Drosophila melanogaster: one gene and its partners. Changing the gene in region 1 together with any one later gene gives a genetic interaction. Each region holds a gene or a part of one and is shown in the gene's direction. Other genes may lie near its edges.

Evidence for each region.
Region 2: of daw (region 1) and Actbeta, changing one enhances a phenotype caused by changing the other (phenotypic enhancement), as found in Drosophila melanogaster (one study listed by BioGRID).
Region 3: of daw (region 1) and put, changing one enhances a phenotype caused by changing the other (phenotypic enhancement), as found in Drosophila melanogaster (one study listed by BioGRID).
Region 4: of daw (region 1) and Atg8a, changing one suppresses a phenotype caused by changing the other (phenotypic suppression), as found in Drosophila melanogaster (one study listed by BioGRID).

What each region holds. Positions count from the first base shown.
Region 1 is NT_033779.5:2,802,876-2,811,348, forward strand, and holds the start of daw (dawdle), read left to right. Parts: upstream 1-2,385; 5' UTR 2,386-2,726; intron 2,727-5,446; exon of another isoform or gene 5,447-5,661; intron 5,662-6,104; 5' UTR 6,105-6,435; coding exon 6,436-7,378; intron 7,379-7,492; coding exon 7,493-7,768; intron 7,769-8,273; coding exon 8,274-8,473.
Region 2 is NC_004353.4:1,078,303-1,086,608, reverse strand, and holds the start of Actbeta (Activin-beta), read left to right. Parts: upstream 1-1,812; 5' UTR 1,813-1,995; intron 1,996-3,335; 5' UTR 3,336-3,482; coding exon 3,483-4,482; intron 4,483-5,401; coding exon 5,402-6,352; intron 6,353-7,779; coding exon 7,780-8,036; intron 8,037-8,089; coding exon 8,090-8,306. UniProt on the Drosophila melanogaster protein: Controls several aspects of neuronal morphogenesis; essential for optic lobe development, EcR-B1 expression in larval brains, mushroom body remodeling, dorsal neuron morphogenesis and motoneuron axon guidance.
Region 3 is NT_033777.3:14,619,203-14,627,335, reverse strand, and holds the start of put (punt), read left to right. Parts: upstream 1-1,632; 5' UTR 1,633-2,090; coding exon 2,091-2,136; intron 2,137-3,663; coding exon 3,664-3,849; intron 3,850-3,916; coding exon 3,917-4,093; intron 4,094-5,032; coding exon 5,033-5,178; intron 5,179-5,246; coding exon 5,247-6,062; intron 6,063-6,122; coding exon 6,123-6,302; coding exon of another isoform or gene 6,303-6,314; 3' UTR 6,315-8,133. Other genes in the region: CG7886 (uncharacterized protein), read left to right, coding at 1-326; His4r (histone H4 replacement), read right to left, coding at 911-1,042, 1,107-1,286.
Region 4 is NC_004354.4:10,764,240-10,770,571, reverse strand, and holds Atg8a (Autophagy-related 8a), read left to right. Parts: upstream 1-2,233; 5' UTR 2,234-2,501; coding exon 2,502-2,591; intron 2,592-3,265; exon of another isoform or gene 3,266-3,404; coding exon of another isoform or gene 3,405-3,419; intron 3,420-3,915; exon of another isoform or gene 3,916-4,194; coding exon of another isoform or gene 4,195-4,242; intron 4,243-4,769; coding exon 4,770-4,967; intron 4,968-5,036; coding exon 5,037-5,114; 3' UTR 5,115-5,694; downstream 5,695-6,332. Other genes in the region: BTBD9 (BTB (POZ) domain containing 9), read right to left, coding at 1-9, 71-517, 586-1,224, 1,279-1,851.

The sequences.
Region 1 (8,473 bases):
CACTTACAGAGCGAACGGAAAGTTTCCCCAGCGAGCTGATTAAGTGGCCCCTTATTCAGCTAAAAATTTTAATTAATTTCACTTCTTGTAGTCCGAGCTGTTGAATTATTTTTGGCTCCAGTTCGATTATCTCCTTGAGGATCCACGCTCAGTTCACATGAACAGACCACAATCGGAGTCACACCTGTTCGGTCGAAAGGCCTCAAAGTGTTAATTAGTTTGCTAATTAGTTTTCAGCTTTAATTAGTGCCTTTAATTTCGATGGGTGCTTAGTCATTTTCAACACTGTGATTAAAATAGATACTTGTTGTTTATATTTTATTGGGTTAAGTTATGAGTTTTGAGTGTAATTTTCAGCAACTATGACAAATTAAAAGTGTTTTTTTTTGGCGATGTATCAGGCAGTTTTCAAATAAAATTGCAATTTAAAATAATAAAAATATATTCACACATATTGCAGCCTCGATTAATTTTTTACTATGCAATATATACTCTAATAATCTACGTTTTAATGATTTTTGAAATTACTTTTTATAATTAAATCGAAAGTCGTGGGTGTTATCAATGGTTATCAAAATGAATATATAAAAAACAGTGTATATTTGTGTTTTGTCTGGCTACTTTCCGGTTGTCAACAAGAAATCCTCTGTAATCAGAAGACTTTGTTCTGCTGGCCCTCTTCTTAACCTATTAAACCAGGAATAGTAGAAATAGATTCAAATCGTTTCAATAACTCTATTTTTTGAGTTCACATTCTTAGACTTTACTTTCCTGATCTGTAATTTGAATCAAATGCTCACTAGACAGTCATAGAATTTTCCTGATCAAATGCAAGGCCAAAGTCTAGACGAATAAGGCCATTTATAATCAAATGAAGCGATGAATAGTTCAGAAAATATTAGAATGAATCTTTAGATGTTTAAGGTAACTTTAAGCTTGCAGTTCAAACGTGTAACTAAAGTCATAGTACCCCTATCAAGGGTATAAGCATCATATATTGTTGACTTAATTATGACACCAAAACACTGTTTTAATTAAAAACTGAAATTCCAGAGGCCCGGCCACGATAAGCCGTGCATTGTGACGTGTTTTTCAGCACGCGCGCCACATTTAAAAATTAGACGTTTCGAGTGAGATTTTGCCTCGATCCTGAGTATACAAATCACGAAAGGTATATTGTGCGATTCCATCGCATTATATTTGAGGTGAATGCTTTATTGTGAAATCTCAAGGTAAACAAAACTCGGAACGGACTTAATCAGTCGATTGGCATGAGGTTTGAAAGTGAAACACAGCGATACGCAATCAGAGCCAGCATTTAATTAATATTAGCCATTTACATACTATTGTCCTCCGAGGTAATCTCAAGAGACCCATGCTCGACGGGCGTGAAAACTTCAAAATTATGATATCACACATGGTAATCAATTGAAGCAGCCAGCAAGTTAAAAACAAGAAACCCCAAACGTCGTAAAAGCCACATCGTAAATTGGTCAAGAGGAAAGCGATTAGCTGGCCAAGAGCTAAACAAAAACAGGAAGGCATACGTAGGGTGGAGTCTGAAATTGAGTATACTTAGTTCATTCGTTATATTACATCTAATTGTTCAGTCTTTTACACGACATTGTTTGCATATTCTTCGATGATACATATGTACTTTCTTCTAGCATTCATGGTTATACGTCAATTTTAGTCATACCTCTCGCTAGTACCGCTTATTAATAGACATTGGGCCATCAAAAGAAAGCGATGGTATCGCTTTGGCTGTGAGAACCAATCGCCATTAGGCAATGTCGGCTATCAGGGAAAGTCAAAGGCAATCCGCTGGACTGGACTGCCGCTGAACTTTGGACCGGTTGGATCGAGCGATAAAACCCCACCGGCACGACGTCAGCTCACGTTTTTGGGTGACGAATGCTGGGGCTCGATCCTCATTCCCAACAAGCTCGAACTCACGAACGGCCATCGAACATGTAGCGCCGGCCAGCGAACTTGTTCGATGCTCCAGCCTCGAGCGGCGTGGGTGTTCGATGCAGGAGGCGATCGGATGGGAGCCAACCGGACCTAAAACGCTGCTGTGTGGGCCAGGGGGGAAAGCCACCCATTATCAGTGGCTCTCCCTGCTCTCCCTCTCTCTCTCTCTGTCGCACTTGCTGGAAGCAAAGTAGAATTGCGCATCGCTTAAAACGCAGAGCAGCGGAGTGCGCCAATGATCGGCGGCGTGTCTGTTATCAAACAAACTGAAACTCAACTGTCTGCCGCCCGAAGAGTGGGCCATACCCATACCCATACCCATACCCAGGCCCATACTCACACCCATACCGCTCCCCACAGATACCGTTAGTCGTACCGCTCCAGGCTTTTGTGGCCGCTGCGCCGCCCATCGTCGAATTATTCACACGCAGACGTTCCCAACGATCGGATCGAAAATTATTCAAATCGTGCAAATCGTACATGAAACTTGGTGTGAACGAATAATACTTTATGTTTCTTCAAAACATTTGTTTTTGCTCAGCGAAATATCAGCTCGTCATTTTGAGGAAATCAAGTTCAAGTGGTGAAATTCAAAACAATAATGAGTTTGCGAAAGTGATTTGCGAAAACAAATAAACGGACAATCGATTGTAGAATCACTCAAGGACATTTGATAAGCATCCCTTTTCGCAGAAGATTGCAAACAATGTGCTAAGTTATTCAAGCATTTTGACAATGGATTATTAATTTGGGTGAGTTACATAACACAAGGGCTTATTGTGTAAGAAGTTTAAATAAAAGTGCCAAAAATGTGAATTATGGAATCAGCCTCAACATGGGATACTAGAAATTGTATATTTTTTTTAGCAGTCTAATGCTCAATATCAGTTATTACCAAATCGCAGGGAAGTTTCTAGTTTCGCTTTTGGAATATCATGCCGTAATTAAAAACTAATCATGCAGTGAATGGTTTATCGATCAGAGGCCTATCTATCACCGATTGATTGATTGATAGTTTTCGAGCCTATAACCCAGGCGCATAACCTCCAAAAGCTCTTGGCGAATTTCGGCCACGTCGAGAGTCATTGGCCAAATTTAGTTGCTACCAATGATGATCTTATTTAATCCTGCACTTGATTTATGGTAGCATCGCCGATGAGCGTGTGGCGAGAAAAGTATTATGGCAGATTAATTTGCGACGCTTCGGGCCTCTGGCTTCTGGCAATCGGGGCAATCTCCGTGAGCGGTTCCAAAGTCCAGATCGTGGCATGCTCCCAACCGCTGATCGGCGAGAACGGCGTGATCGCCGTGATTTATTGCCAAAAACCGATGGAAGCAGCCGTGTTTTTGTCGCAGTGCATTCAACTGCTGCGCGCGAAGAAGAAATGCAAGTGATAATTGCCGGCAATTACGATAGCCCCACTCCAAGTCCGAGTCCCAGCCCCACATCCAGTCCCAGCTGCCCCGTAATTAATGCGAAAATGATACGGGCAGGCCCATGGAAAACCCCCAAGCAGAGTCGCTTAGTCAAGAAGCCATCTCCATCAAGCGGCTGTACTTTGCACCTCCAATCGACGCATCGCCAGACCCCCAACTCCCCATTCACAGGCACAGCAGTTTTTTGCTCCGATTTGCATCGACATGGCAACCGCGGAGTCTTCACTACAGCTTTTGCTTCTGATCACGCGCTGGTGGCGTGCTCGATGACGTAGCCATGACTGCCGGGCGTTAAATGACCTTCTTCAACTTCTGTCCCCCTTCCCAGCGGCACCCCTTTTCCGCGGGCCCCCATCACATCGCAGTCGCACGCCTCGGCTTCGATTCCTGCCTTTGATAAGTCGGTCAGTCAAGTCAGTCATTAAGTCCAGTGCAGTGCGGACAGCTCGAGTTACGTCAAAAACGAAGAGTACGTACAAAACGTGTCACATGTCGCGTGTGTGCTACAATCCAAGCCCTGCTTCCTGATCCGATCCCCATCCATTCTATCAGATCCCATCCCATCCGATCTGATCCGTCATTATGTGGCCCCCAGTCGCTTTAATCGACGTCAGGTTGGTTGTGTTGGAAAAAACAAAATGGAGCAGATTTTGGAACGTGGCAATCTACGTAGGTTGTGGAAAAATATGCGATGAGTTGATAAGTGGTGCGACATATGCTGAAGGCCAGGACGTCATTTAAATTGGAAAAGGGCCACTGGAAAAGTGTAATACCTTATGTAACTTATGGGAACACGTAAAACTAAACTTAATTGTGCAAGTCAAAGGTGTCATAATCTAATATGAAATTGGGGAGTATGCAATACTTATAGTTGTTTATTGTATTATTTCCTAACAAGAACCCCTATTAATTTGCTTTTGCTTAAGCCGCACCAACAATGTTGCCAGAATTCGCTGAGGCCTACAAAATTTCTATCAATTAAACGGACCTTCTCCTCCGTATAGTATAGATCATTTCTATTCGTCTCGATGATCTAATTGGGTTCAGAAAAATCACAGTTCGTGACAAGCGAATCGGGCACGTGTTCAGCATTTAAGGCTAAATCGAATAGGCGGTATAATATAACTCGTGATCTGCCGGCCTTCAAAATACTTTTCTTGACCTTACTCGACTGCTTCACATTTAGCCGAGACCAGAAATTCTGGCTGATGAAATTCCCAACCGAAATACTCATGAATTTCCCATTCGCATTTAAATTGGAAAACAGACACACTATGTATTTGAAATGCGCATCTATTAACCGAATCCGATTAGGATTGCCCAGAATCGCATGCTAAGCGTACTTAATTGGTTAAATGCCGCACTACATATTCCATGCTCCCGATTTGTGGACCAAAAGTGGGAAACCGCCCCTTATCAGCAACGTGTTCACTATTAATTGATTGACACACAATCGAGTCGGATCATCAAAGTCAAGCTTGATAACGCTGCGGGGTAATTAGCATGAATGGGCCACTCGACTCGATTCGATTCGATTCGATTCGGTTTGAAGCGATCATAAATTCACTTGATATCAAAATGCCCCATTGTGGCCAAGCGAGTGCCAAAAATGCCAACAGATAGTGACGCCGCCAACTGGGGGCGTGGCATTGTCAGGGTGGCGGGAGGTTAAAAATAAAATTGCAATTAAGAATTTTATGCAATTCGGTGGCTTGGCGTTTTCAAGAAGCTGATGCAATGCTGCACCCCACTTGCATATCCAATTGTCTTCGGCTAAAGAGAGAGCGCCATGTAGCCATAACCATGGTCTATAGTCATAAATCGAGACCCGAACCGCTCGGCTTGGATCCGAGTCCGCAACCGATACGAAACGATCCGTCAGATACGATGCGATTCGAGTGGTTCGGATTGTTTCGGTTCGGTTCGGTTCGGTTCGGCTGGCGCTCGCGGAACGATCAATCAAACGCTCGGCGATCGTCACATAAATTGTTCTACTAATCAGCCAACCGCTTCATTCATTCACAACTCGTTTGCGCTGCCGCATGTCGGAAGAGAAAGAAGCACCATACTATATCATAGACCATACCACAAGTGGAATACTATATAGACGCGCGATCCCAGCTATAGCTAAAGGCCCGTGCCACTCGTGTTTCGTGTCCGGGTTCAAAGTTAATGCCGCAACCCCCGCCGGATTCATCCGGCTGAGCAGATTCAGATCCCATTGGAGCAAATCGGAGTGTGCTCACCACGGTACGTGTGGGGTCCACGTCCACCTAATTGCCATCTAATTGAGCCCGCTTATCAGCGGATCTGCGCAACTACGCTTTCGATTTGAGTCGCACTTGGGGCAAATAGCCCATGTGATAATGTGAAATTGAATACTGAACTAAACTAAATCTTCCCGGAATTAATGTCAAAAAAACGATTTGCACTTTGCCACCTGCCAATTCGAGCTCAACGATATGGAATAAATGATGCAATTTGGTGCAAAAATTAAGCGAGACTTCGGGCTTAGTGAGTGATAGTGATAAATGCACCTGATCCGCTGGCATATTAAATTGCATTTTAATTGGGGCAGCGCGTTCGCAAATATTTATGAGAAAATTTAGGGCATAGCTGTTTTAATTTATTTGATTAATAATCGGAATGTGCTTACAATATTAACTAAGTTACAAATTTCTTCTTATTTGCAGACGAAACTTAACGAAAAGTTTAAAATATTGAACATGCATCATTCAAGCGTATAAGTCGTTGTTATATAAAATCATAAAAAACGCATAAACGTTTTAAAAGTGCTTAAACAAGGCTATAAAACGGCAACAATAAGTGAAACCAGCTGCAATTCTATGAGTTTTGTAAACCTGAAAGCCGGAAAAATTGATGTTTTAATGCTGCCAAACAGATAGCAATCAGCCCCAGCCGACAAAACAAGAGTGAAACCAAAGGCGATCCAGAAGATCATAAGATACATATAAAATATCTCACAGTTAAAAAAAAAGAGAAGTCATAAGTACATATTCAGAAATGGCCAAGTACTTTATAGCCCTGGTGTTGCTGGTGTGTCTGGCCCTGGAGAACAGGAACGTATACAATCGCCTGCACGCCCGCTCCCATCCGAGTTCCCGTGGCGACATCCTTCGTCCGCATCCTAAGCACCAGCCGCATCCCCATGTGCAGCACACCTCGCAACAGCTGCAGCAGCAACACCATATCCGGCAGCAACGATCCCGTCAGCTGAAACACCTGGAACCGGATCCGACCAGCGAGGAGGACGATGTACCGATCACCAAGCGGGAGTACTATGCCCGCCTGAGGCGCCACGTCATCCACAAGAGGCAGCACCTCCTGCAGCAGGAGCTCAGCTACAACCATCCCGGCTCCCATTCGGAGCAGCTAAAGGTGCCCCGCCTGTGGCAACACCTCATGGAGCAGGAGGAGAAGGCACACCGACATGTGAGCCCGCCCGTGGAGTTGCCTATCATGTACGGAGATGCCCCCGAGGAGTCATCCCTCTCCTCCGATGATCACTTTGATGATCTGTCGCCGCTGGACTTTGTGCGCAACGAACTGATGGCCGAGGACCAGCAGAATCAGGAGAAGGATCTCGATCTCGATCTGGACCTAGATCAGCAGCCGGAAACGCCCATAGAGCCAGAGCTCCCATTGGGTGAGAGGAACATCACCATTTCGGTGAAGTCCAGCGCCGGAGGATGCCCCAAGTGCGAGAGCAATCGCCAAGTGGAGCACATCACCGAGGAGCAGCTGACCCACTTACGCATCGAGTTCGTTAAGCAGCAGATCCTGGAGAAGCTGCGCCTCAAGGAGAGCCCCAAGGTGTCGGCCGTGGAGCTGCCCAAGCCCATCTTCGACGGGATGACACTCTCCCATCCGGACGATAGCACCAAGAACAAGGAGCTGGACGATTACTACGCTCGCACTAGCAAGAAGTTCATACTGCTCAATAGAGGTAAGCAAATCTAGATTTAAGCACTAGAAAGTAAAGATTGAAGCTTAACTTCAAAGGGAATCCTTTTACCATTCTGATTTTGCTAACACAACCCTTTATCCTTTATTTTTACAGAGGAGGTCGAGTGCAACCGAGCGAGAGATGGAAAATCCAATCCGTCCATGTGCTTCACCTTCAAGATAGACGACGCAGATGCCGAGGGCTTCGACGTGAGCACCGCCGTCCTGTGGCTCTTCAAGAACAAACAGAACCGCACCGACACGGCATCGGTGAACAGCACCAGTGCCCAGCAGACGATCGTAGTCTCCGAGGTGGAGGTGGATCAGCAGAAGGACTCCAAGTATTTGTCGGCGGCCAAGACCATAGCCATCCAGTCGGTGAATGTGCAAGGTGGGTACACATAGTATACATTAGTATAGCATAAACACTCATCCCCCCAGAGCGTAATCATGCCCAGAAAAGAATCGCACACGTTTGGACCTTTGGTCGGCAGCCGCGGAACGGCCAAAACTGACCCTCAATACCCTCGGGGGACAAATCAAAATATGTGACATGTCTATACTAGATGGGTATTATAAAAATTATAAAGAACGCCGATAAGTGCCAACGTTGACAACCGCTTGTTTGTGTTTTCAATTAGACAGATCATTGCGCAGATTCGTGATAGCACTGCTTGATAGCTCGGCTCGAATCTGAAATTCATGTGGGTGAATAACTTGACAAAGCATTATTCGTGGGTGCAAAAACTGAACTTTGGCCACAACCCAGCACAGTTGTGAGTTCCTGGGGTCAGTTACCAGATAAGAAAGATGGGATCTACGATTCTGGGAGAAGAGAAGATGGCTCTGTGGAACCCCCAACTAACCGCTCTGCCTTTCCTTTCGCATACTTTCAGATGAGTGGATGAAGATCGACATTGAGTGGCCCATCAAACACTGGATCAGTGGCCACGAGCTGAGCCACCTCATCCAAATCACCTGCGGTGGCTGCGATGTCAGCGACATGGAGGAGATCATTTCGGTGGACAAGGATTACCGGCCATTCATCGTGATCGACATGCAGAACAGGCGGCGCAAGAGTCGCCAGAAGCGCAGC
Region 2 (8,306 bases), on another chromosome or scaffold:
ATGTTATGTACTATTTATTTATACTACTTACTTTGTTGGTATACTCTTTCCCGGAATAATACATATAGTTATTTCCGGAGATTTTCGGGAGCCGAAAGTTAATACATACAGACAGAAGGGGCTTTAACAAGTCGATAGCACATAAAACCAGAATAACATGATATCGGCAAACTAAGGTTTATATACTCTTCCAATTAAAACAATGTCTTGGATAAAGTTTTTTAACCCGTGCCACTAACGTAGACGACCGATACATGCCAGTCAGTCCCCTTGTCCGTCGGTCCATCTTTATAAAAGTCAAAACCTATAAAACTATAGATATCAAAAAATTGAAGTTATCCGTCCAGATTCTAGTAACTCCTACGAGGCTTTTGCTTGTATCAAAACGTAAATTATTTATTTGTTATGTCTATGTACATGTATGTATATGATGAAAACAACCAACAACAAAATATTCGTATTCTATTTCTAGTTTGATGCAATCGTTTCGAAGGAAGTAAAAAGTAAATGTAGCCAATAATTGTAGGTATTCCGGTGAAGTTACGTATACATCCTCTTTGTTCTTTCTGTTAAATATTCTTCAGAGAGTACGGTTTACCCTTTTTTTGTTAACAAGTAAAGGATAAAGAAATATTATCTGCTGGGCTTTTCCTTATATCGATTTGCATAACTAAAATCAGCAAAATAATAGAATACTTACTCGAATTTCACATTTGGAAAGTATGTAACAACCAGAAGGAAGCGTTTCCAACCATATAAAGTGTGATCAGGATCAATAGCCGAATCGATCTGGCCTTGTCCGTATGTCCGTGTATCCGTGTGTCCGTCCGACCGTCTGTCCGACCGTCTGTTCGACCGTCCGTCTTTCCGAATGAACTCGAAATCTCATGTACTGTACGTAAACGTAAAAGCTTGAGATCAGCATACAGATTCAAGCGACATAGACGCAGCGCAAGTTTGTTGACAGATGTTGACACGACCACTCTAACGCCCACAAAGCGCACAAAACTGGCACGCCCACATTTTTGAACAATTTGTGGATAGTTTTTCATAATTTCATCTAACGCCCACAAACTGCACAAAACTGCCACGTCCACACTTTTGAAAAATGTTTTTATATTTTCTCATACATACTTTTTCATACAAGACTAATAATCTTGTAAATTTCTATCGATCTGCAAAAAACATTTTTGCCACGACCACTCAAAGCGCTAAAATCGACCAAAACTGCTACTCCCACGTTTATGAAAATGTATTGGATATTTTTCATAATTTTATTAGTCTTGTAAATTTCTATCGATTTGCCAAAAAACGCCCAATATAAAGCCCGCAAACCACGAATAACAGGTATAACAATTTTTTCCCATTTTATTTCCCCCTAATATCGATATCCCAGAAAAATGATGAAATTTTGCGTTCGCATTCGTACTAGCAAATGAATATAATATTAATATTTATATCTTGATTTGAATCTAACTGAATTGGACGTAAAGTTTTACAGATAAATCTGTTAATGTTTAGGCGCACATAGATCGACACAAGATCGACTGCTAATTTGGAATTTTGGGTAAACGATTCCATCTACGCTTAACAACATTTTTATTTATTAGTTACGATTACGATTTAAAAATGATTTAGGTTATTGAAATTCATCCATTTGAATCTGCCGACTTTTTAATCGTGAAAGGAAGCATATATCGATAGCATCGATATTCTTTCTAATTTGAATGGCAACAGATATTTCTGGTGCAAATATGGCAACGCTGAAATATTGTTATTTTCAAGAAAGCTTTTGAAAAGCTTAAAGTGTCATCTTAGTTTCACAAAGTATGCAATGTCATTTAGCAACCAACGGAGATACAAAATATTGTTTCCGTGCTAAAAGGAAAAGCATAATACATTTATAAATCGTGAAAATGTGATAGTGTCCCTAATATTTCTCGTGAAGAAATATATTTACTTAGTTGAAAATTTATTGTTTCTAAAAAGAAAAAGGTGATACATATTGTTACATACACTGATCATAAGCCTATACACATAACCACCTTCCTTCTTACATATGTACAAATTTTTTTGTTGAACGCATGCTTTTAATTCCTCTTCATCCCTTTCCGCTGCTAGGCTTCTAAGTAACCACCATTCAGGCGTAGGTCTTTTCATCTGGACACAGTCTGTGTGTCGCCTTGAGTTCTTCAGAAGGGACGGATGAGTCTGTCTGTCCGCTTCTGTTGGTGCATGGTATGAAGTATTTCTGGCGTAATAATAACTGTGCCATCCGAAGCTCGGCGTCAGGTTTAGACTAATTTTAATGTGTTGTACCCTTTCAAAGTGTATATTGATTTAAGTCAGTTTCTTGCAACGCAGTAAAGGAGACAATTACGACCACACGAAGAATATATGTTCATCTGTATGGCTAGCAGTAAGAGCCGTAACCGTCCGTCCGTTTCAACGCAAACTGGTTCAATTACTGGTTAATTATCAAGTAAACAAGTATTCGGAGAATATATCATTTAAGATTTGTATACCCGTATATATATTCCCTTACTCGTAGAATCAAAGGGTATACTATATACGTTAAAAAGTAAGTACCATGTAGAAGGGAGCATTGCCGAGCATACAAAGTATATACAGGGTGCGGCAGCATAATTTCCTTTTTCAGAACTCAATGAAAACTATTGTAGGCATCGGAAAAAATTTATTTTTTTTTATATTGTACGTACATGTCATATTTTTTGAAGATGAAATCTGATAGGTGACGTCCCCCATTCTCCATACATTGCGTAAACCGATTTCTGGCGTTTGTCGTGAGTCTTGTTAGCATGGCAGGTGTTATGATGGCAATTTCTTCTTGGATGTTGGTTTTCAAATCTTGTAGGGCTCTTGGACGGTTCACATAAACACGGGACTTCAAAAAACCCAATAGAAAAAAATCACAAGGGGACAGATCGTGCCGGCCATTCCAAATCGCCTCTAATTGAGATAAGGCGCTCTGGAAAGTGTTCCCTCAAAACAGCCATCGATGCTCTTGAAGTATGTGCTGTTGCACCGCCTTGTTGGAACCAATTTTTGTATATAAAAAACACTTTGGCCACAAAACGAGCGAAACGGTCACGCCCACATTTTCAAACAAATTTAAAACTTTTTCGTATCTTTTTGCACAATATTTATAAATATCCCTGAAAAATTATGAAACTTCGCATCGGGGAAGTCGACTATAGCTTTCTCCGGTGTTTTTAATTTATTTGCCAATTTGTAGCCTCCTCTCTTGTTTAGTGTCCATATTAATTTCCAGTTAGCTTACCACTTATCTAATCGAAAATTTGTATTTTGAACAGGCAGACGAAATGAACGACAGAAAGGAAAGGAAAGGAAAAAGATTTGCAATGATTAAAAAAATATTTACCAGAAAAATAAAATTGACAATACTTGTACCACGTTTCTAAGGGACAGTGCCTGTACTACACGCTTGCCATATATCAAAGATGCGATTTGCCTTCGATTCTAATCATTCGCAATCGGGGGCGCCATTCAAAGGCAGCAGGTGTTTCTTTAATTGTCAATGCATCTGCTGTCGCCAAGGATGCTGCGTTGTGGTTGTAAAGTGCTGTTGCTGCTTTAACTTAAACTGCTGCAACAGCCTTGGCTCCCGGAAGTCATTTCCACAACCCGCTGCAATGCGTAAAAAAGTTGCTGACCTCGAAGTCCTTAGAGTATCAAGGTTTGTGGCGGTTATTTTAGTGCTGGCTCGGTGGGTTACTGCGGTAGCGACACTCCTGACAAGCTGCATACTCCTAGACATATTTTCCGTGCCTGGCCAGTCTGGAGTTGCAGATAGAAGCCAAGCCAGCAGTAGGACAGTGCACGTCTCGGTTCCTACCACACCTAATGAAACTCCCAGTAGCACTTCGGAGACGAAGCTAAAGTTGCTTTATGGGTATACATCGTATGACATAAATAACGACCAACAGGTAAAGTCCAACAATTTATGTAGAGTGCTTTGTAAAAGTCGCAATCGTAAACGACAGCGAAGGAGGCGACGCCGACGCAATCACAGACGACGCAGGCACAGATATACTAAGCGACTTCATCATCTAATGCAAGATAATATGAGCGGCTTTGAGCAAAGACTTAATTTTAGCGATGCCAAATGCCAGTCTTTGGAGACAAATTACGGAACTAATTATGACTTAGTACAAGGAGGTAAACTATTTAGTCAGTCAGAGAGAAGCCTACTGGTGTCCCCTTTGAGGGAAATTGAAGCACCTTGGCCAGCGATTCATGGTTCAATGCGTAACTGTTCAAAGATTAAACGCAATAGAGCCAATCTTATTTGGCTTCTAATTGGACTCGTCTGGTTTGAAGTCAAACTTATAAATTGCAATGGGATCAGCAGTAGTAATTATTATGCTTCGAATTTGGAGAGTCACAAGGGCTGCACCTTGTGCCATGAAAGCGGAAAGCCCAACATATACACCGATAAAGGTCAGTTTTCAAAAAAATTTTTTACATACTGAATATAGGGTAATCTTTTAATATTCTTATTGAGACTAAAAAAAACTACATTGAGTTTGGCGTTATTAAGATAAAACAGATGTGAGTTGTTGTGAAATAAGCGGTTATCGTACTGTACCAAAACTATTGCAATGCAGAATTTTTTGTAAAATAAATTTAATTTGTAAGATTTTTGTGCTATTTTTAAGTAAAATAAAATCATTTTCAATGATTAAATTAAATATCTATTGACAAATGTTGTACCACTAGTAATGTAAATAATATTTAATACAAGGACCACCCGCAGTAAGCCTGGGATATTCATACCCCCTTAAAAGGGTAAATAACAAAAAATACAAAATATCTAGAACAAATTTTCATAGTCTGGGTGAGTTTTTATCTTAATATTGCAATTTGTTTATCTTAAGGATTGGAAAAATTTGCTTGCTACACGATTAATTTCGTACATATTTTTGAATTAAAACATTACGAGTCTTGAAAGGTATTCCTGTCTCGTCTAATTTTATTGTCATAAAATAAAAAAATTATATATTGTTCTTAACGTAAAAACGAAGGAAATGTCGCTCCAGTGACGTAAATATGTACAATACTAGTCAAACTCGGTATTGCAAAAAAAAACAGTAGAGGTCATAGGCGCTGGATTTCAGAAACTATAAATAGATTTGATTATTGATTTTATTTCTTTTCGAGATTTTTGTGAACCATAAAAATAAATCCAAATCTTAAAATAATAATGCTAGCAAGACAAAAAAATATTTTTAAAAAACGATAAAACTTGTGTGATATCGGGTAATGAAACTTTACTAAAAACATAAAAACACTCCATACAACAACAAAAATTTATATAATGAATTTTACATAACACTTTACAATTATCACATTCACACAGATAATCCACACACAGACTACAACATCTACAACAAATACCATTCCAACAATAATTTCAACAAAAAAACTAATCAACCCCATAACAACATTGCACCCAGCGATGAAGTTCGTTTGGAGTCAATAAAACGGCAAATTTTGACAAAGCTTGGTCTTAGCCACAAGCCTAATGTATCTCATCCTTTACCAAAGCAATTTATTTGGGAAACAATATATCGAGTCGATGGTGGACGAATGATACCAAACAATGCATTTGGGAGCAGTGGTAAGAATTTAGATCAGAAGACTATCAAGCTGAGGGCGTTTGCCTCGCCCGGATCACATTTGTTTAATGGCCGAGGTGGAAGGACCGATCAGAGAAGCGAACGGGATCCCAGTCATCATAAATATCGATCCCCGTTCGATTTCACTTTCAATATAAGTAAAAATAATGTATATGGGAAAGTATTGAGAAATCGTTCTTTAGAACGAATCGATAAAAAAAACTCATTCTTAAACGGATGGACAGAAAACCGTCAATTAAAAATAAACTCTCAAATTGCATCTATGCCTATAGAACTAAAGAGCCACCATAACAGTAGTCCTAAGGAGCTTAAAAGCGGAGCGGTCAGAAAAGTTAATGGCATCAACGGCACACAAATGAATGAGAATGCCTTAAAAAAATCTACATATCCTATAGATATAAATCATAGTATTGATAATAAAACCCATACTGGCAAAAATGGTGAGATGAGCCACAATGATTATGAATATTTTAACGATTACAGTGTTCAGACTCATGATAAAAACCGGTACCATGAAGGTCGCTCTAGCATTGGATATCAGCCAGCGATCCACAACATAGAATATGAAAATCAGAAAGGACATCACGAATCTTTTGCTGATGATCATGAAAATATTGATCATGAAGACTTCTTTGGAAATACGCAGGAAATAATTACATTTGCTGAAGAGGGTGAGTAGATTTTTATTCAACACAGGATTAAACGCTATCGTCGAGGGCAAATTAAAAAATAAGAGACGTCGAGTTCGCCGACTATCAGATACCTGTTACTATAAATAAGTAAATATAAATTTTATTTTATACCCGTTATAACTAGTGGGTACGCAAACGCGAAATTTCATAATTTTGCTGGGATATCGTTGGATATTACGGGGAAATAAAATGAGAAAAAAATTGTATAATTCTTTAATAGTGAGGGAGTGAGCCTCTTGGGCGTTTTGTTGGTGAAAGGATGTGCGTGATCACAGTGTTTTGGTATACCGGTGGAAATTAGCAAGACAAACAATAAAACAAAGAAAAATCTAAAAAAAATTTTCTAAAGTGTGGGCGTGGCAGTTTTTTGGCAAATCCATAAAATTTTAAAAGACTAATAAAATTATGAAAAAATATCCACAAATTTGTCAAAAAAAAAAAATTGTCGGCGGCATTTTTTGGGTCGTTAGAGTGGGCGTGGCAAAAAGTTTGTTGACAAATCGATAAAAAAAAATGTACAAGACTACAGACTAAAAATATGAGAAAATATCAAAACTTTTTCAAAAGTTTTCGGAGGTTTGTGGGAGTTGGCTCAACACACGTGCGATGCGTTTAGGTGTCTACAATCGGTATGCTTCTAGCTAGTATGCTTCTAACCTTCTAGCTTTTATAGTTCATGAGATCTAGACGTTCCATACAGACATGGCTAGATTGATTCGGCTATTGATCCTGATCAAGAATATATATACTATATATAGTCGGAAACGATTCTTCCTGCCTTTAACATACTTTACTATACTATACTATACTATATACTATAGTTACTATTATATATTATTATATTATAATATATATTAATATATAGTAATAGTAATATACAGTAATAAAAATAAGAAAGAGTGATCGTGCCCAAAAAACATTAGGCAAATCAGTAGAAACCGGCTTGTGGCGGTATGTATGGCATACCGATAGAAATTGGCAAAACAAATTATATAATGACTAAAAATAAAAACGCTTTCTTAAAAGTGTAAGCGTGGTAGCTTGTGAGAGTGCTTCTTCTCTGAAATTTTTAATTTTTTATCTGAACTTTCTAGATTTTACAGGCCCTGACATCGATACGATCGATATGGACAAAAACGAATATATTTAAATACGTTATATTAAAGTTGAAGTAGTTGAGGTTTTTTTAATGTCTACCAATATCCGCCATCTCTAACGCCTACAAAACGCTTAAGAGTACATTTTATATACAAAGCTTTGATTTTTAGTTAACTGTACAAAAATTGTAAACTTTACAATATATCTGTTTTTGAAGAAAAAAAACAATGCAATATATTTTTTTGTAATTCGCTCATATGACTGTGTGTAGTCTTCTTATTCATTGGCATAATATATTTTATTTTAAGGAACCCAATATCGACAATATCGAATACTCGAGTTTTCGGCCCAAAACCGCCGTGTTCCCAGCCAAAAATTATCCATACGAAGCGCTCAGATTCATATAAGGATAGACAAGCCACATAGTCTTTGGATTGAAAAAGCAAAAAGTTTGCCAGAAAAACATTTACTAAACACTAAACGAAAATGGGGAGCAAATAAACCACATCACAGAATAAAAATATGGGTATTTCAGTTATCAACTTCAATCAATATTACGGAGAAGGTAACATTAAAAATATTGTTTTTTAACTAATTTTTAAAGCTCTTTATTTATAGGGAATAGATAAGGCTATTATCTTCCGAGCTTCTTTTCAAGTTGACCCGAAAAATTTAGGATGGCAAAAATTCGATTTAACCGATACAATCCGTGAATGGTACGGCCATACCAGTCACGAAAAACTGCGTTTGTTGATTGATTGTACTGGATGCGGTGGTCGTTACTCTTTGCACCTCTTTCAAACTTCGAAACTGAGAGGAAACTCATCCGACTACT
Region 3 (8,133 bases), on another chromosome or scaffold:
TTCAGGTACCAGTCGGCGACATGCACATGGAGTCGTCGTATATGTCCCGCTCCGAAGAACTCTCCTCAACGGACGTTACGCTGGAGAACTCAGACTACGAGACGGAGGCGACGGACTCCACGTTACTTAGTAGCTCGAAATACTCCTCCATGCATGTCTTTGTGCGGCGCAAGCAATCGGAGTCCATGTCACTCACAGAAGAGGCCGGCGACGGAGATGCCGGCGGTGGTGGAGGCTCTGGCGATTTCGGCGACCAAAATGTCATATCCCCGGCCAATGTCTACATGTCCCTGCAGCTCCAGAAGCAGCGGGAGCAGAGCGCCTAGGGGTCGTGACTTTAGGTTCCTCCATTCAAAATCCCCGCAGCCATTCGCAGCCGGAGCAGCGACACCACAGCTGGCTGATACGCCGAGCAGTAACAACAACAACACCACTACCACCACCATCACACCCACAACAAAGCAGCCAACTCGATTCGATAGGATCCCCACTGGGAGAGCTAAATTTGCAGTCATACTCCCGGGCAGTAGCAGTAGAAAAGGGAACCTGCTCCTTTTTGCACGTCCTGCCATCTGCGAATTCAAGCTGCACCAAAAATGTACAAAAATATACTTTGGTCTTACTAATTTCCATTAAAGATTTATTATTTGTGTGCTCCCTAAGCGAGTTTGTTGGACCTTATTTTCGGATGATTAACCGCCCCAAGTCAAAATGCACATATGCATGATATTGAGTTCTCTATGTGATATCTTTTGATTTATTTAGTCCGTATATTGTGAAATTATAAAATATTTGCGTTCGGTTAAGTTTGCGTTGAATACTACTGATTAAGATTCAATTGGATCAAGTATTTTGAATGTAGTTAAGTTAACTCCATGGTTATTTATTATGTGGAGGTTAGAGGGCGTGCTTAACCGCCAAATCCGTAAAGGGTGCGTCCCTGGCGCTTGAGGGCATAGACCACGTCCATGGCGGTCACGGTCTTGCGCTTGGCGTGCTCGGTGTAGGTGACAGCGTCACGGATAACGTTCTCAAGGAATACCTGTGAATTTTCCGAGAAATTAATCAGTTTTTCACCACTTTCCCTTCGTTTCGCCAGAACGTACCTTTAGCACACCGCGAGTTTCCTCGTAAATCAAGCCAGAGATACGCTTAACACCGCCGCGACGAGCCAAACGGCGAATAGCAGGCTTGGTGATACCCTGGATGTTATCACGAAGCACCTTACGATGACGCTTGGCGCCCCCCTTTCCCAATCCTTTGCCTCCCTTTCCACGACCAGTCATTTCTCAGTTGCTTCGTAAAGTTGGCTGAAAAGAAGAGAAGACGCAATAAACTGTAAAGCGACGCCATGTTTGGTGAAAGGTAAACGTTCATTTGACAGGTGAAAACTGTTGTTAATAAGTCTGTTTTCATACAAAATAATGGTCTCCAATTATTTTTTTTATGTTTATGCACAAAAAAACTTTGTTGACCGATTCTTCTATTATTTACTTAAATTTCTCAGCAACAAAACTCACTTCAAGAAATCTCCAGAAAATTGCTTGTGAGCGTGACCAGATCTCGCACACCTCAAAATACCTTTCGCAAAATGCGCGTATCTAGTATTTCTATTGTCTCACTACCAGCCCTGGTCAGTTATCGCCTATCGGCCATCGCTATCGCCGCCCCGTTGCGACAAAAAAGATTTAATCGAACCGAAAGACGTGCTCGCACTAAAATCGCTTGAAAACAGGCCCGCAGACCTGCGAAAAACGAAAAAGTGCAGCGCGCATATACTTTTTCAACTGTGCCCCTCTAGCTTAAAATTAAGTCGCGGCGAAAAGTCGAGTAAAACCCGCGGAAATGCGCATGCAAACGGCGTGTGGCCAGCAAAATCGCTGCCAAGGCACCGCACACACACTCGGCCACCCACACATACACACTTAGTGCTGTACTCGAAAAGTGCGAAGACAACAGGAACTCTGTGCCAAAATAATATTAACAGTACCCAGTTATTCCATTCCACTGCACCTGTCCCCGAAACATCGAAATATTCGCGTTACGTATACGCAACGAGTGCTGTAAACAAGTTTGCACAGGCGATAACAATGTCCAAATACGATCTGCTTTATCTAACGGCGCAGCTAACGCTGGGTATGTATTGCACTGCGAGTGTGTGGGTGCATACTTATTGGCGCCTTAATTCCCAGTCGCTTTATTATGTACATATGTACATAATATTATATTTTGTCTCTGCCTTACGATTTTCCTCTGTAATGCAAGCCGACTTCGATTTATAACCATTCGTGCGTGTGATTTTTGATGATATGGGGTGCGTAATGCTATTACTTTATTAATATCACATGGCGCTTGAAAAGTTCATATATAGGGTGTATAGGCTTTGTGATAGCTTTGTCCTATTAACCAACACATCAGAACATCTTAAATTTTCAGAAATTAGGTATAACGAATGTAAATGCTAGGAATCAAATCTATTTGTGAAGTGAATAATGTATACACTAGATACTCTATTAAAGCACCAACAATTGTACTACACAAATGTAGTAAAATATCGTAAGAATTGTTGACAGTGGGTACTACGAATTCATATGTTGAGCGCCAAACGCATACTCGGTATAAATCGATCGGATACCTAATTCCCAATCTTAATCCATGTGTGTGTGCGCTGAGCATTTCTTTGAATGGATTTTGCTGCATTAGGAACTTGTTGTATGGCAGGTTCTGGTTTCTCCCACCCTTTTGCTCCACCGGCCTCCCTCTCTTTCGCTCGCCATAGCCCTCTCTCTTTCTGTGGCGCAGTGCGCTCTCTTCCCTGTTGCTGCTGTTGTTGTTGTTGTTTCTGCTGCTGCTGTTTCCTTTTTCCGCACAAGCGCCACTTTAAACCCATCCCTTTCTGTGTGCATAATGTGCCTGCTTATGTATCTACTTTACTATAAAGCATGCACGCTTACGAACACACACATACATGGCCAGCGATCCGATTACCTAAAGGACAGTGGGACGAAAAGTGTTTCAAAGGATTGAAAACAGTTTGCTTAGCCAATGGTCAAGAAATATCAATCAATATATCGCAGGCTCGTTGCAATAAACGTTTTCAAAATTAAATTTTTTGTATTTACACATTTAAAAAGTGAATTATCATTTTAATTTTTATCAACAAAAATTTCGGTATTTGGATGAGGATCCCAGATTAAATCGAATTAAAGAATGTAAATAGATTTTCAAGAAACCTTACTGCAGGCCCACTGTGCACTGCATATCCGTGCATTGGGGCCATGCCCACTCAAAGGCTGGTGTGTGGCCAGTGGGGCTAATTCCGTGCCCAAATGGGGTGGCTTTCAATGGCAGAGGCCCCAGCTTAGGACGCTACTCCTGCTACTTCTGGGCATGCGATATGTGTACAAAGGATAGCGCCCACAAAGAGCTCGCTGAGCGCCCTCCCTTTCAGTCTTATTCCCCAAATAGGCTCGACTTTATTTGCCCACCCTTTGAGCACTTCCAACCGATAATTCCATTAACTTTGATCTTTAACTACGTTTTAACTTTTTGAAAGTCTTTACTCATGTTTTAGGACTGCTCAAATATATACTTTAAATATAGATCAGTGCTAATCTAAAACTAGAAAGATTATTAATCTATTTTCCCATTGTCTTCATTTAGTCTGCTGTCTGATTGGAATCCATGGATCTATTTTGCCCGGAAGTCATGGGATCATAGAATGCGAGCACTTCGACGAGAAGATGTGCAACACAACGCAGCAATGTGAAACACGGATAGAGCACTGTAAGATGGAGGCGGATAAGTTTCCCAGCTGCTATGTCCTTTGGTCGGTCAACGAGACAACGGGTGAGCCGTGCAGAAGTTGACGTTGTTTCAGGCATACTGATTAATTTTAATTTTTCCGTTCCCATAGGCATCCTGCGCATCAAGATGAAGGGCTGCTTCACGGACATGCACGAATGCAATCAGACGGAGTGCGTGACCAGTGCAGAGCCACGGCAGGGAAACATTCACTTCTGCTGCTGCAAGGGATCGCGGTGCAATTCCAACCAGAAATATATTAAAAGCACCACGGAGGCAACCACACAAGGTGGGTTCGGATCCGGTTTCGGATTCAGATTCGGTTTAACGTTTGCTGCTACTGGGGTTTTGTCTTTGGAGTGTTTACCCCAATTTTGTTATTTTTCCGTTTGCATATATTTTTTGTTTGTTTTTGTTATTTCGTTTTTTTTTTTTTTTTTTGTATTTTTACTGCATCTTCAAGTTGCAAAAAGAGGGCGTAGGCTTCGCCTACAAAATACCACTCCTCGCATCCGAGGCAGCGTTTTTCGTGTTAACGAACTCTTGACGCGAAGTGGCGCCCGCTCCCCCATCATTTTCTACATCCCCAGCCTCCAGCAACCCCTTTTCGGAGCCGCATGTGTTGCAATTTCTGCCCTCCTGTGCACGTTCGCTGGTTCGTTTTTATTTTTATAGTAAGGTACTTCTTTAGCGATCGGGTATAATGCGTTCGCTTTAAAGGATGCAACTGAAAGAGGTAGTTATTTGGTATAAATCCAATTTATTTCACTCCGATTATGAAGGCTTAATAGGATTAGACTCTACCTATTTTGAATGATACTTAATTGGCTTGCAGCCTTAACCCACAACGAGGAGAGTATCTGTTATCTAATACCAGGTATACAAGTGTCGAGTGACTTCATTCTAGCATCCTTTCTTGTTTTTATTTTTGGGGTGTTGCTGCTGCCTTTGACTTCGAAGCCCTGTGCTGCCAGGGCGTCTTTTGTGCCCTGCTCTTTGTTGTTTTGTTCTTGGGCCTAGCTCGCTTTTATCTCGAAACAAAATGAGGGGAAAAAGAGATGCGAAATTGGGGGCGAACTTTCGTTTTTTAGTTTTCGTTTTGCCTTTCATAGCAACCCCAGCAGCTGCAGGTGCATGCCGCCACTCGAGATGTTGTTCACCTGTGGCAAGGCAGCGTTTAAAGCCCTCTTTAATGTTCGTTCCCGTGTGTGTCCTTGTATCGTTGCAGTGCCCAAGGAGAAGACGCAGGACGGCAGCAATTTGATATACATCTACATTGGCACCTCCGTTTTCAGCGTGCTCATGGTCATTGTTGGCATGGGCCTTCTTCTCTACCGACGCCGCAAGCAGGCGCACTTTAACGAGATACCCACGGTACGTACATATCCTTGTGATGTTGCCGCAAATATATAATTTTAATTATGCAAAATTAAACCCTTTAGCACGAGGCTGAGATAACAAACTCATCGCCATTGCTCAGCAACCGTCCCATTCAGCTGCTGGAACAGAAGGCCAGTGGTAGATTCGGTGATGTGTGGCAAGCCAAGCTCAACAATCAGGATGTGGCCGTCAAGATCTTTCGCATGCAGGAAAAAGAATCGTGGACCACGGAGCACGATATCTACAAGCTGCCGCGCATGCGCCATCCGAACATCCTCGAATTCCTGGGCGTTGAGAAGCACATGGACAAGCCGGAATATTGGCTGATATCCACCTACCAGCATAACGGATCACTATGCGACTACCTCAAATCGCACACGATCTCATGGCCAGAGTTGTGCCGCATCGCTGAGTCCATGGCCAATGGACTGGCACATCTGCACGAGGAGATCCCGGCATCAAAGACCGATGGGCTAAAACCATCGATAGCTCACCGAGACTTCAAGTCTAAGAACGTACTGCTTAAGAGCGATCTGACGGCCTGTATAGCTGACTTTGGTTTGGCCATGATATTCCAGCCAGGCAAGCCCTGCGGCGATACACACGGTCAAGTAGGCACTCGACGTTACATGGCCCCAGAGGTGCTTGAGGGTGCCATCAATTTCAATAGAGACGCTTTCTTACGCATAGACGTCTACGCATGCGGCCTAGTCCTCTGGGAAATGGTGTCACGGTGTGACTTTGCCGGACCCGTCGGTGAGTTCCAGCTGCCTTTTGAGGCCGAGCTGGGCCTGAGGCCGTCGCTGGACGAAGTTCAGGAGAGTGTGGTAATGAAGAAGCTGCGCCCTCGTTTGCTCAACTCCTGGCGCGCCCATCCGGTGAGTGTGACTTCTGATAATGCTTTTAGTCAATGAAAATAACTTGTAACTTTTTTACAGGGACTTAATGTATTCTGCGACACAATGGAGGAGTGCTGGGATCACGACGCTGAGGCTCGTCTTAGCTCTTCGTGTGTGATGGAACGCTTTGCGCAGCTAAACAAGTATCCCTCAACCCAGTTGCTAATCAAGAACCACACCAACATTGACGACGCCAAGGAATCTACGAATTGCTTATAGAAGCGGTACTAAGCCACAGACCAGCCAGCGGATCTGTGGCTCTGCAAAAAAATCAGTTGAAGCTTTTTGCTTCGTAGTGGATAGTTGATCGTCGAGGTCGTAAGACGTTTCGTTTTTAGTTTAATAGTTTGTAGTACCATTATAAGCAGCTATAGAATGGGTTGATTTATACGAAAGAAGTCGTGTAAGATGTAACTTTTCCTAAGGGAAAAGCCAAAAGCTTAACATGCCAACGATTCTTTGTTATTATTTTCTTTAAATTATAAATCGACTCATTCGATGTTAACCCGAGTTCTTAAATCTGTTGGAAATGAGTGGAAACGTACACTAAGCAACTTTGAACAAAGAGCATTAGCTATGTCCAGAGACGTGGTAGTTGCTAATCCGACATTGACTTCATTGACTGATAACCATATATAGTTCTATATAAATCATACATATAACGTACAATTTGTTTTGCCCTCTGGCAGTAGCCTGTGTGCATATGTAAACTGTTGAAAATTATCGTCAAGCCTTTTAAAGTATAATTTTATTTGTACGTTATCGAATGTCTTCATATAGTAGTAGTTTTATATTTAAAGTTATTTTCAAAATAGATTTAACAATTTTAGTTTACTTTTTAGTTGTAACGTTTTTATTTCGCGCTCAAACGTGCATGCGTTTTAATGTTGTATTTTAAATAAAAATACTTTAAACTCCATCCTAACCATCTGATTTTTTATTATTTTGTCTGTTTTATATTTCTGCTTTTGATTTTTATTTTTTTATTTCCAAAACGTAGTGCCAATGACCCTCAGAAATCGCGTAAGCATAATAAATGTGTAATTATGTAATTGTATTCTAATTCTACTGGACAGTACAAGCAACACCTGAAGTTTTCAAAGGAAAGTTTCTTTTTAACAAGAATCTAACTTAAGCGCATATACATAAATTATAAAATATAAACTATACTCTTTATATATACACACAACACATACACGCATAGGCATACGGAACACACGCAGTCTAGCAGGTTTATATGAAGCACACGCTGCGACTCATCGTCAGCATAAAATCTAAACAAAAAAAAAATCAAAGTTAATATTCAACCCAAGAGGTATGCACACACTGTAAGAAATTAGAGCTAAACACAATGAGTAAGTATGTTAAACATTGTTAAACGGATAGTATGTCTTATAATGTTAGCCAAACAAGGTGTATGTCGAGCTATAGTTATTTAAGCTATAGTTTAATTAAGAGAGTCTTGGCGGAATGTATTATCTTTCGGGTTATTTGAAACTTTTTTGCGCAGCATCAGTTCTTATCAATGGCTAAGCATCTGAAATACTTCTGGATTATCAGTTAAGATATCAACTAAACACGATACACAACACAGAACAAAACGAAACAAACAAAGCTTCATTACCTGATTTTTTTGAGCAACTTACAACAAAAATAGTTTATTACGCAAACAAACAAAAACCAAACGACATAATCTTAATAATAGAACGAATTTTGTTATGCTGTATTTAATTTGTATATTTTCCATTGGTGCTGAAACATCATTACGACGAACATAATGATAATGAAGATAATAAGAAACGAATTCAAAAACAACCAGTATTTAAAGAGCGAAGGAATAAACAATTAATATTTAATCATAGTAGTTTGTTACATATCAGATTGCTAAATGGGATAGAGGAAGATAATATAAATCGATCATTTCAAAAAGATTTGCAGAGAAATTTTTATAGCATTATACAAGGCAATAACAAGCCAACAGCAATTTTGGTATATTTTTTAATGCATTTCATAAGTAAAACCAAAACGAGTTTATAAACAGTAAATTCAT
Region 4 (6,332 bases), on another chromosome or scaffold:
GTGGAAGATCTAAGAGCAAGGAGAGCATTAGCTTATCGGACATGTTTTGTGGCGCTGCACTGCTACGTACCTCATTCGCTGTGTTGCGTGTGCCCACAATGCGGATATAGACCACTGGACGCGGAGTAAAGTGAAAGTTCTGCCAGGAGCGGGTCCTGTCGTTGCGGCGGTCCACGACCATTTGCCATTCCTTGCGGTTCGTCGAAATTTCGATGTAGAAGCTGTAGGTGCGATCATCGCAGTCCCACAGCAACAGCCTCATTGAGCCCAAATAGTAGGGTTGGCCCAAACGGACGACGATCTCGCCGCTGCCCAATTGGTGGCAAGTATATCCCGAGTCCCAGTCGTAGCGCACATAATCGCCGTTGATAAGCGCGTTGCGGGTGCGACTCACGCCGTCCGTCACAATGGCGCTCATCTCTACGGTGGCCACGTTCGTCTTGGGCGCCACAAAATGGTTAACTAAACGCGGCACCTTGGCCGTGTGCATGGCTTCCAGACCCACAACATGGAATACCTATATATTAATGGAAAGGGAAAAAGTTAAAGAATGGGGAAAGTTTGAAGAGATCACTGCTGACTTACCCGGTTTACAGTGTTCTGGGTGCCCACCAGTCGAATGAATCTGACGGGTCGTGCTTCGAAGTATAAGTATTGCCAGGAGCGGCAGTGGTAGTCGCTGTAGTCGACCACGCGATCCCAATGCTGCTGGTCGCCGGACACCTCAACGTAGTAGGAGTACGCCCGGCTGTCTCTGTCCCAGAGCAGCATGCGAATGTGATTGATCATGCAGAACGTGCCCAATTCGACCACAATGCCCGCATCTTTGCTGTCCGTAATGCAGTGGCGCGTATACCCGTTCTCCATGTCATAGGTGGTCACATCTCCATCCAGCAGCGCGTCGCGACACTCTCCCTGGATGCAGCGCGACAAAAACGTCTCCGCGGCCACGTTTTCCTCCGGCCAGAGCGCCGCCCTGTAGGGCAGCGCCTTTGAAGTGCTGCGCTCGTCGATGGCGTCGAGAATCTTGTCGGGATCCAGGATGCCCGAGGGACGCACCACCTGCAGCAGATGCTCGAGGTTCATCAGTGGCAGGCGGACATAACTAACCACGGACTTGAAGTCCACGTTGCTATTGAAGCGGCTCCACTTCCACACGGCCAAAAAGATCTGCACCTCGGGGGCGAAGAAGCAGTCACGCCGTAGTACCTCCTCCAGCGATTCCTGTAAGCATTACATACTCTTAGTGCCAACTTTACCAATTGGTTGTGAACTTACCTTGGATAGCGTATTGAAGCTGTTGTGCAGCAGCAGGTCGCCGGCATTGCGATCCATGAACATTAGGCAAACCTCGGTGAGTTCCTCTAGATTGTATAGACGCGCCGCATCAAGAATCATGCAGACATTGTCCAAGGCCAGATACTGGCGTAAATAATTCGATATGGCCATCTCCAGATCCTGGAAACCATACTGATTGGCCATGCCCAGCACATCGATGGTGGAATCCTCGTCCAATGTGGACAGCAGCAGTGTGCCCGAGTAAATGTAGCGCAGCAGCACCTTGAACGCTTCCAGCGGCACCTCAAGCGGTATTTGGCGCTGTGTGGTCTCCGCCATGCCGCCGTACAGCAGCGCCCGGAAGTATTCGCTGCGTGCCGCGAGTATGACGCGGTGGGCGGGTATGCGCTCCTCCTCGACGATGAACTCCACGTCCGCGTACTGTTCGTTCATGCAGAGGCGCGCCATGTCCGCTGAGAAGCGATCGCCCAGATCGACCACGTCGGTGTAGTCCTGCTCCATGGCGCCCTTCTTGCCGCCGCCGGACATCTTATGGTGTCCCTGGCTGCTCATCCTTCTCTTTTTTGTTTTTCTTCCGTGCGATGTGTATTTATGTGTGTAAGCAGCCAGAGGGAACAGTTGACAATTAACGTTTCGTCTCGCCTGCTGCGTCAATCCATCGATGACAGTTAGTGATATCGATAATATCGATGGCACAATAGGGATTCTTCTATTGCGGCGAAAAACTGTTATATGTGCAGTGTGACCGTAGGTGTGTATACCATTTAACGCGTACAACAACCATATCGACAGCCGTCTGCTAGCGAGCACATGAACCACATGGTTGCATCCGATAACATTTAGCGAATACATGAACCAAATGGTGTCTGTCTAATATGCCACCACTATTAGCGCGTTTCGGGTTGGTGTCTCTGCGCGCTCACTGGTCACACACGGTCAGTCTAGCCACAGCAGTTAGCGAGTGCAGTCACCACAGTGCGAGTGCTTATCGATAAAACCAGCAAGTCATCGATTTTTAGACCGAAGCGCTCTGTCAACTGCTGCGCACGGTCACTCTACACAAGTATTTCGTACCGTTTGTACGAGAAAACAGAGAAGAGAAAAACACAAGCTCAGCAACGCATCGATATTCGGCACAGTCCCAAAAGCAAACGAAGTGATAGAAGCTGCGTTTCTTAGCCAATTACCTCTTCATTGCAATCATGAAGTTCCAATACAAGGAGGAGCACGCCTTCGAGAAGCGTCGCGCCGAGGGCGACAAGATCCGTCGCAAATATCCAGACCGTGTGCCCGTAAGTACTCAAAAATATATATATAAATGCATATAGGTATAAAGAGACGTGTGTGTGTGTGTATATATGCGTGCGAGTGTGTGTGTATGTGCGAGCTTCTGTGTATGCGTTTGTTTTGCGTCGTTTTTTTTCTCGCTCTTTTTTTTTGTGTTTGCACCGAAGAAAATCAATACTGCGCATATTGGGTATTTCGATTGTTATTACAATATTATTGCACTGGCACATCAGGTGGCTGGGGAAATTTGTGCGATGGGTATTGCATAAAGTGCATTTTGCATTACTGGTGGGGGGAACAGGCGACAAGCTCTCAAAAGAAATTCAAACGAAAATTCTGCCCCCTGCATACACACATACGCACGCATACACGCGCACACAGGCACACAGATGTCGACAGGAAAAAACAAAAGCAAAAAAAGGGAGAGAACAAAGCAGCCGTTTCACTTGCTCAGCTGTTGTGATGTTGTTGTTTTCAGTGCTAGATTTCATCTGTGCCACCTCTTCCTCTCCTCTATCCCACCCTCTGGCTACACAGCAAGAAAATCGCATATATCTATCTGTCATCATAATTTAGTTACAAGCAAAGTTTTGACCACCCCGTTTTTTTTCTGTGTGTGCACCAACCAGTTGTTTTCGATTTTAATTTCGTTTGTTTGTTGGCAAAACGAGCGAGTACTGCGCATAAAAAAAGTCACTAATACTCACTAATACACACTTATACTAGCGCTGCTTGTTTTGTTTTTCGCAAATACACAAAGTGCGACTGGAATTAGTCATAGATGCGCTGCTGAACACAAAACAAAAATAATAAAAAAAATGGAAAACAGAAAGGTTGAAAAAAACAAAAACATCTTCTGCTTCTTCTTTGTTGTTTTTCTGCTATGTATGTATGCATTTCACCACGTTATCAGCGAAAACTCCTTTCACAAAAACCAAAACAAAACCAAACGAAACGAAACGACAAACTGCTGAAGGTGCCCCAATCGCAGCGAAAAGTGCAGTTCTTGTTTTCGATTTTGATTCGGACTGCATATGCATATGTATATATGTACAAATATGTACATATGTGCGCTATATATGCACCCCCGAAATATTATTGCCAGTGTTATTTTAGTGTTTTTTTTTTTTGGCAAGTGCAGCAGTGCCAAATCACAAATCACATAACAGCTGAGCGAGGGGCAAGGCCAGCTGGTCGCTCGGACCACCAGCATATCCATATATATCCGAATTCTATAGAATATACTTAGTACATACATACGTACTAGCACATCTCATACTTGTGCCTTGAGTTCGGCCAATGACGATAACGAATTTCGATAGAACACTAGTGTATAGAGGGGTGGCATTCGCGACAAGCAGTTTTTGCCCATTTCGTATTCACTATGTTGGCACCCGCTTCCTGTTCCAAAAAAAAAAAATTGGACAAACCAGTTTGCCAATAATTTGGCTAAGGCTAACTAATGAGCCCCTGGCTAGAACGGATCGTCTAGTCTAGGCCAGCTAGCAATTATTCCAGAGCCAAGGAAATGCAGTAGATTCGTTACAAAGCTCACTTCAATGACCAACTTGGTCGTCTTGGTGATCAATTTGGCTAAAATGCTGTAAAATGTGTATGTGTTTTTGCATAATGAACAAAAAAAAACAGATGATACAGGTGAACTTGAATGTAAACAGGTGCTAGAAATCTTAATTATATTACAAAACATATACCCCTTGAAAAATGCATTGAATTTGGCTTAAAAATAATATGTGAACAAAAACACACGTGTGTGTAATTACACATTCCAACTTACGAAATTCCAAAATGCATTACGAAATTACTGACTGAAATTACGAAATTACTCATTTTCCTGTCTAAATATAATATGAGTCAGGCCAATAACAATCAGGTATAGTTGTTCGTAAACAAATTAGTTTTCAATTAATATTAAGGTATTTTGTACACTAGATAGCAAGCATCAGAATTCATAAGACTATAGTTTATGTTTTCGGCATTATCATATTCCAAGGTAGCACGTATTCGAGCACACTTGCTTCCAGCAATGCAAATGCCATTTGTAGCCAAATATGTGAGCCTTATTGGGCACGTAATCAGGTGCGAAATGTGCGCACATTAACATGCACAAGTAGCCCGCAACAACAACTCACCTCCTGTATTTCTTCTTCTATTTAAACCCAAAGGTCATCGTCGAGAAGGCTCCCAAGGCGCGCATCGGTGATTTGGACAAGAAGAAGTACCTGGTGCCTTCCGACCTGACCGTCGGTCAGTTCTACTTCCTCATTCGCAAGCGCATCCACCTGCGTCCCGAGGATGCCCTCTTCTTCTTTGTGAACAACGTCATTCCACCAACATCGGCTACCATGGGCTCCCTGTACCAGGTAATTACCACAATGCCCATTATTATTAGCCTTGCAATCGAATCACATACGTTCGATGTATTTTTATAGGAACATCACGAGGAGGACTATTTCCTGTACATTGCCTACTCCGATGAGAATGTTTACGGCATGGCCAAAATTAACTAACTTTGCTCCGGTCGGGATGCATCGGAATGAAGCCCCCCCCCTATACAGAAATCTATATATAAATAAAATATATTTTGTGTTTAGCATGCAAGCTTACAATATGGACGGCGAGTTAGCTAAACGAATTGAGGAAAACCGCAGGAAATGCCACATGAAAAGAACTTGAAATTGATCTGATACGCAGGGCAACAAAAAAAATCCACAAAAACCGAAAACTACAAAAACAATTGTTATGTGAACATTATTTTATATATATACATTTTCCAAACGCGTTAGTATTTCAATTAAACTCTGCTTTGTGTCCTACCCATTAACGAAACAACCAACCAACCAACTTTCCCCACAAAAAACAGATCTATTCACACCCTTTCTGGGCCATTTAATTTCCATTGCTGTAATTGATCCGTGCGAATGCTTTGTACTTTACTTTGTTACTTTGCTAATATTTCAATGAATTCACTATTTTTTTTTTTATTCACGATGCAACAAAATTCTGTGCATATTTAGTGTGTATGGTTACGAATAGGACTCTCTCGGTTAAGTGTACGGTAATTAATCTATTATTAAATAAACAAAAACCACAAAAATACACATGCAAAGGGTGTTTGTTTATTTGGATTGTTCTTCGTTTTCAGTTTGCAATCACGTATATCACGCTTAGATGATTCAGCGATAAGTGACAGGAAGAAGTTATTTTATACTGCTTTTTCTTTTGTTCACCGAACAATGAGTCCTTATCTTTTAAAAATGAAATGAGCTTTAGCAATGAGTGGGTGTTTTTTTTTATTCTTTGCTATTAGTAACAAAAGCATTTATTTATTTTAAATTGAAGGCGTAAAAGGTAGTACTTATGATACCATTCGCAACGCAAAAGTTTAAGTGTGCAAATTAAATTGAAAAGAAATCACTTTGTTTATTGTTTGCTTATCTTATCGCAGCAAAGGCACTTTGCTAGCCATTCAAAATTGCCGCCCACAAACGTTTTTATGGGCAGCACTGTCATCAAAACACAGCTGGTCACACCATCAAGTGCTGCAAAGCAATATCTCAAGTCAGCCATAAGGAGAGCATGTGCTAAAAAGGGACAGCTCCACACAATAAGTACGATTAAATTGCGATATATTTTTGGTAGTTAGTATTTTTGACGCATTTGGCGGACGACTGAGCACGTTTGAATTTCGTGGATTTTTTAGCCAATTTCACCATCTGGCAACACTG